2 linked regions of the Ovis aries genome follow. The protein of the gene in region 1 binds, or shares a complex with, the protein of each later gene. Links are inferred from orthologs where the notes say so. Each region holds a gene or a part of one and is shown in the gene's direction. Other genes may lie near its edges.

Region 1 (2,721 bases):
TGGAGTTGAGTGACACGCCGGCAGAGCAGGCGGTGGGCGTGGCCAGCCTGGACCTGCTGCAGGACCGCGAGGGCTTCACATGGAAAGGCCATGAGCGGCTGAGCCCGCGCCTGGGACCGCTGCCCTGGCCAGCCGGCTTCCAGCCCCGCGCTCTCATCCAGTGCCTGCCACCAGCCGCCGTCACAGCCGTCACACTCCACGCTGAGTGGGGCCTCGTGGCCTTCGGGACCAGTCACGGCTTTGGCCTCTTTGACTACCTGCGCAGGAGCCCCGTGCTGGCCAGGTGGGTGTGAGCAAGCCCCTCCTGAGGTTCACGGGGGCACTGCCAGCCTCGCAGGGCCCCGCTGGGGGAGTTCTGCCCCTCGGCTGCTGGACTTGTGCTTCCCTGATGGCTGGCCTGCACCCCCAGGTGCACCCTGCACCCCAGCGACTCCCTGGCCATGGAGGGGCCGCTGTCCCGTGTGAAGTCGCTCAAGAAGTCGCTGCGCCAGTCCTTCCGGCGCATCCGCAAGAGCCGTGCATCGGGCAAGAAGCGGATGGTCGCCGGCAGCAAGGTGGGGCGGCAGGCAAGGCGGTCAGGGTGATGGGGGCGGGGGCAGGATGGTGGCCCGACCTTGCGCCCCTCCAGTTGCAGGAGGCCAACGCACAGCTGGCGGAGCAGGCCGGTCCCCAGGATGTGGAGGTTACGCCCGTGCAGCGCCGCATTGAGCCCCGCTCAGCCGACGACTCCCTCTCGGGTGTTGTGCGCTGTCTCTACTTTGCAGACACCTTCCTTCGAGATGGTGAGACTGGGCGGGGTGGGCAACCAAGGGTGGTGTGTCCTTGGTCCTCTGGGAAATGGGTGATGGGGTGGACCTGTGCCTTCTGGAAGGCTGAAAAACAGTGTGCCTCCTGAGTACCAGGCTGTGCTGGCGACAGGGTGCCCTGACCCCCAGCAGCCCCTGGAACAACCAGGGTGAGGCTCGGTGAGTGGGTGGGGCGGGCCTTAGACCTGGGCAGAGAAGGGAGCCCAGGATCTGGGGAAAGTACGGGCTGTAGCCCCAAGGCCTAGGCGGATGTGACTTGCCTGGGCAGTATGACTGGAGCAGAGGGCAGGCCTGGGAGGAGCTGGTTTTGACCCCAAGTGGCCAGAGCTCCGGCAGGTCCTACCTAGGGCAGTGGTGCATTGGGGTTTATGGACAGAGCTGCAAATCAATTTAACTTGGTAATGGGGCATTTCAGCCCCGCACCGACTGCCCACCTGTTCTACATACATCGTGTATCTTGTAAACACGATTTAAACGTAACGAAGGTCACTGGGCAGCTCAGGATGTGTCTGGTGGACGTCACTTCTGGCACAGGGCCTGTGTCAAAGCCCGGAGTGTGGCTACTGATGACTGGCTACTGTTGCCTGTCACCCTCGGCCCACAGGGGACCCCATTCATCTCGGAAATGCCTTCTCAGAGTTGGGATGGGGTCAGCGTCCAGCTCGCGTGTGCGTGGTATCTCTGCTTCTTTCCTCCTCCATCTGGGAGGGGAGCCCCCCACTTCTAATGTCATTTGTTGAGGGCCCCTTTGTCTGGGGGATCTTACTACTGTCTACATGTGGCAGCCCGGGTGACCTGGTTCCACTGTCTCCCTGAGAAGCATGGCTTCCTGTTGCTCACCTGTTTGTTGCTCGGGTATCCCCTCCATCCCAAGATTGTTGCTGAGGCCACCAGGCCATTGAGGGTGCACATTGTGACTGCCCGGTCCACCCGCACCCCAGTGTTTTTAGCTCACTGTCTACTCAAGAGCCTTCCCTTTCCTAAGGGAGTTGAACTGTGTGGTGTGCATCCTGGATGGGCCCGGGACTTGGTGCCTGGGTGCTCTGAGGGTGGGGCCCAAGTCCAAGTCTTTGGGGGACTGGTGATGAGCTGCGTCACTGGGATGCTAGGAGAGGTCTGAAAAGGTCAGGGTCCAGTTTGATGTGCCTGTGGAGAGACCCTAGAGGTCACTCCTGTGCCTGCAGGGGCCGGCCGGAGTCACCAGGGATGTAGGAGAGACAGTCCAGGATCCCAGGGCACCAGAGGGGAGGGGTGGCACACACCCACCTCACCAGCCTGTCTCCCCACAGCGGCCCACCATGGCCCCACCATGTGGGCGGGCACCAACTCGGGCTCCGTGTTTGCCTATGCACTGGAGGTCCCAGCGGCAGTGGCGGGTGGTGAGAAGCGGCCAGAGCGGGCGGTGGAGGCTGTGCTGGGCAAGGAGGTGCAGCTGATGCACCGTGCCCCGGTGGTAGCCATCGCGGTGCTGGATGGGCGCGGCCGTCCACTGCCGGAGCCCTACGAGGCCTCACGGGACCTTGCACAGGCGCCTGACATGCAGGGTGGCCACGCCGTGCTCATCGCGTCTGAGGAGCAGTTCAAGGTGATTAGTCTCCAAGACCCCTTGGGGTTCTCGTCTCCTGGACACCCTGGACCCTTGGCCTGCATACATCCCTGCTCACTGGGACCTCCTGAGAGCCTCCAGCCGTGGCAGAGGCACCTTGGGGAACCCTGGTGCCCCTCAGGACCCTTGAGCACTCCCTTGGGTGGTCTGGAAGGAGCTTGTGGTGTGGGGTACTGGCTTCCAACTTGACCACCCAGCGTGACTGGCTTTGCCACAGGTGGAGGGGCCTGGGAGGTTTCTGGGCTGTGGAGCTGTGGTCAGGGTGGCAGCTCCGGGTGGGTGGTGCCGGGTGGAGGAGGTGGTGGGGGC
Region 2 (4,017 bases), on another chromosome or scaffold:
ATGCGGAGCACACGGTTCAATCCCTGGTCCAGGAAGATCCCACAGACAGAGGGAGCAACCAAGAGCCAGAGCCACCGCTCTGCACCCAGAGCCACGGCTCTGCAGCAAGAGAAGCCACAGCAGTGAAAAGCCACCACACCTCAACGAGGAGTAGCCCCTGCTTGCTGCAACTACAGAAAGCCCCCATGCAGCAACAAAGACCCAGTGCAGCCATAAATAAATAAATGATGATGCATGGCTAGTTGGATGGCTTGACTGATTGGCTAAATATTCATTGTGCACCTGTTCCATGCAAGGGCAATATACAAGGGCCAAGATATGGGGGGCAGCAGAAGGAAGAAAAGTCAAGTCTTCCATCATACCTTCTGAGTTTCATTACATTTATCATTACATTTGTTACATATATTATACTACATTCCTTCCATAAAAGACGCTATGCTGCTGCTGCTGCTGCTGCTAAGTCGCTTCAGTCGTGTCCGACTCTGTGCGATCCCATAGACGGCAGCCCACCAGGCTCCGCCGTCCCTGGGATTCTCCAGGCAAGAACACTGGAGTGGGTTGCCATTGCCTTCTCCGAAAAGACGCTATCCTGAGCCCTTAATCAAATTCTTTCCCAAAAAGGTACTGTATAATTGAGATGATTTATGCAATTGGAAGGAGAATTTAGCAGAGAAGAAAGTCTAGAGTGTGACGAATCCCAATCATTTCCAATGTCCTCGGATGCCCAAGGTGGATTCAGGATTTGCACGCCAAAGTCTCCTGGGGCAGGAGCCGGAGACAGACAGAAGGCGGGGCTCTCTACTTGTAAGGAACCTCAAGTCCCAGAATTCCACGGGGACTCCAAATCCCAGAAACCCGCACTCCAAATCTTCTCCGAGTCCCCAGTCGGCTGACCGCGGACGCGACCAAGTTAGGAAACTGGGGTGAGATGCCACAGCACTTGTCTCCAACCATATTCGTAGGGAGGGCTTTTTACAAAAGTATAGTTATTTGAATCTTCACATTCTCTCAGTTACAGCTCCCACACAAGGCCCCCTGCCGGGGAATCTGATATGATGTTCAGCAGTCCCCATCCTCCCTCCCCTTTGCCTTGCTCCCCTAAGAATGGTTCAGCCGGACATTGAGGCTCCTTGATTTGGATCAATGGTTGCACCCGCCCTCCCCCGGAATGTGGGCCTTTGGAGCGAGCGAGGTGGGAGGGACGGAGGCGGGAGGCGTGCAGGGCCCGGGCTGCTGTAGAGGCAGAGTCGGCCGCCGGCGGTGGGAGGAGCCGTGCGGTTCCGGCTGCCCAGGCGAGGCGACACTTGGGTCCGCGCCGCGGGCGGGGACGACAGGTAGGCGAAAGGGCAGCCGCGGCTCCGCGAGAGGCTCGAGCTGCGGAGTCCCCTGCGGCGCCCGGCGCGCCCCCCGCACCCTCGGCCTCCGGCGAGGCGGGGGAATAAGGAGATGCCGACCCAGAGAGACAGCAGTACCATGTCTCACCCGATCGCAGGCGGCGGCATTGGGGACCACTCTCACCAGGTCCGGGTGAAAGCCTACTACCGCGGGTGAGTGTTCTGCGGCGGGGGTGGCAGGGGTGGGGAAAGACCAGCTCGGCTTGGCCTGGAGGAGGGGCGAATGTGGGGCTGGAGATGTGGGAGGAATGGTTTGGGCGGGCTAGTCGGGGGTACTTGGGATGGATGGCCGAGTGGTCGGGGGAGGACGACCAGTGGTGGTGCAGGACGCCCTGGAACCGCACGGCTGAGAATCCTGAGTAGGGTCCTGGGGAGGAGCCTTGGAGTAAGTAGGTCCCCTTGGTGGGTTTGAGAGACTCGCCTACTAAGATTTACAAAGAGCTTTACGTGTTTTAAGTCTGGATGTATTGGGGGTTGAAAGTTGATTCTGAGTGATGCCTTAGTTAACTAAGTTTACTATTAGGTTTTAAAGACGGGATTGCTTCCACTTGCTGATCCTTGTGATTACCAGCAGGCCTATAGCCTTTGGTTTTCTAAGTCAGATTTGTCTTGGTATAGAAGAGTTCCCGACATGTATCAGGAATATGATCAGGCTGCCAATATATTAGACGTAGGGGTTATATTTGAGTAAAGTTGATGTGTTTTCAGGGATATGCATTAGGTACTAGGTCTTGCCTAGGTTAGGTTGTGTATGTGTAAATTAAAATCCGTGAACTCTTCTTTGTCATTGCTCTAAGTCTTGTCCGATAGGGTGAGATAACTGCAAGAAGAGAAGAGGGTGAGAGTAAGCAGTTTTAAAATCTGTGATCTTTACTCATATTATCATCTAAGTTACAACTACTGTGGTTACCAAAAATAACCCAGTCCTAAAATCACAGTATTAAATCATATTCTGTAATCAGTAATCTGAAGTGTCCCCCTTCCTTTGAATTCAGTTGCTGTGTGAAATTTTTTTGAGATAATTACACTTAGGAACAACTGTTAGTGTGAGCAAAAAAGTTTGAAACTGAGGGCTAACAGAAAACCCAGCTTCTGTGGCCTGTCTTAACTGCTTGTCCAAGCAGAAGTAAATTGCTTTAAAAAAAAACAAAACCAAAAACTCAAGCACTAGGAGGTTTGAAACTGCAGTGCATACTTTTACATTCCTGAGAGGATCAGTGAAGATAGCGAACTTTCAAAATGCCTCCCTTGTTTTGATTTCAAGAAAATATAAGCTTCTATGTGTCTTATTGATTTGATAAAAGGATTTATTATTTTGTTTGCTGCAGTGAAGCCTCGGGCTCTGTTTATTAGCTTGACTGTATTCAGAAGTAGTTAAAGGAGTTATTTTGGACAGTAGCAGTGGTTTTGCTTAAATTGATCAAGGAAGTCTTGATTTGAAAACAATAGCTCTGTACTTTGCACTGGAAAAAAAATGCTTTGTTTCCTTTACCTTATCTTTAATTTGACAGATGAGATATTTCACTTTAGAATCTGCTCTTTTATAAAGTTGACGGCCTGTGAGTTGTTAGGTACAGAGAACGAAATATAGTACGTTTTGTTTTTTTATAGTGTCTGATTATTGACAGTTTTAAAAAGCTAGATTTACACACACACACACACACACACACACACACACACACACAGTAGGAACAGGCAAATTGTTCAAAAATATGAAATGAAAAGTGTTCCCCATCCAGTCCTTCCTACCTTGAGTTAACTATAATTGATAAAATGAAAAGTGTTCCCCATCCAGTCCTCCCAACCTCAAGAGTTAACTATGATTGATAGTTCATTTCTTGTTCTTCTGGAGATTGCCTTTATTTCTTACTTTAAAGTTTTATACTTCCGTTTTGTGACTTATCAACTTTAGATGGTATCTAGTGATCCCTTCCTCTGAAGGATGAGAAACTGGGTGCACCCTACACTCTGCTTCCTTGCTCCCTTATGCCTCTCAATTTTTATTGTTAAGCTATTAATTTTAGTTCATCGGTTTACTTTTCTGATTCTTGACATTAAATTTAGGTAGTTTTCAATGATTCCAACTATGAAACATGAAAATAGTGCTTCTTCCTTTTTTCTCCTGTTTTTATTAGTTTGACAATTGCAAATAGGCCTTGTGCTTAATTGCTCAGTTGTGTTGGACTCTTTGTGACCCTGTGGATAGTAGCCCACCAGACTCCTCTGTCCATGGAATTTTCCAGGCAAGAATACTGTTTGCCATTTCCCTCCCCAGGGGATCTTTCCTGCCCAGGGATCGAACCAGTGACTCCTGCCTTGACAGGCTGATGTTTTACCGCTGATACCATACAGGCCCAAATAGGCCTCACAAGTATACAAATTAAAAATCATTGTAAGCTTCTCCTTTGCAAAGAAATCTAAGTCTGGTATACTTTAGAATGTAGGTACTGCTCTAATTATAATTTTTTTTTTAAAGGAGGATAAAATGGCAACCCACTCCAGTGTTCTTGCCTGGAGAATCCCAGGGACAGGGGAGCCTGGTGGGCTGCCGTCTATGGGGTCGCATAGAGTCGGGCACGACTGGGGTGACTTAGCAGCAGCTAAGCAAGTCACTTATAACCCT

What was found.
Region 2: the proteins of LLGL1 (region 1) and PRKCI are in contact, whole or in part, in a cryo-EM structure (PDB 8R3Y), measured with the Homo sapiens proteins. The link is inferred for Ovis aries from reciprocal best matches to the Homo sapiens genes LLGL1 and PRKCI. Residues at the interface, in NP_004131.4 of Homo sapiens: Ala315, Asp319, Glu367, His391, Ser392, Ala394, Thr396, Glu453, Cys483, Glu484, His485, Phe506, Asp507, Pro508, Tyr509, Ser510, Asp511, Pro513, Gln518, Lys519, Lys569, Ala600, Val601, Thr602, Leu644, Gly648, Pro649, Leu650, Ser651, Arg652; in NP_002731.4 of Homo sapiens: Asp339, Met341, Gln345, Arg348, Leu381, Asp382, Met399, Thr412, Phe413, Cys414, Pro417, Leu425, Glu445, Gly449, Arg450, Ser451, Gly457, Ser458, Ser459, Asp460, Asn461, Pro462, Asp463, Asn465, Thr466, Glu467, Asp468, Tyr469, Leu470, Phe471.

The regions. Positions count from the first base shown.
Region 1 is NC_056064.1:34,149,357-34,152,077, reverse strand, and holds part of LLGL1 (lethal(2) giant larvae protein homolog 1), read left to right. Parts: coding exon 1-283; intron 284-409; coding exon 410-554; intron 555-628; coding exon 629-782; intron 783-2,095; coding exon 2,096-2,391; intron 2,392-2,721. UniProt on the Homo sapiens protein: Cortical cytoskeleton protein found in a complex involved in maintaining cell polarity and epithelial integrity. Involved in the regulation of mitotic spindle orientation, proliferation, differentiation and tissue organization of neuroepithelial cells.
Region 2 is NC_056054.1:217,842,753-217,846,769, reverse strand, and holds the start of PRKCI (protein kinase C iota type), read left to right. Parts: upstream 1-1,203; 5' UTR 1,204-1,446; coding exon 1,447-1,547; intron 1,548-4,017.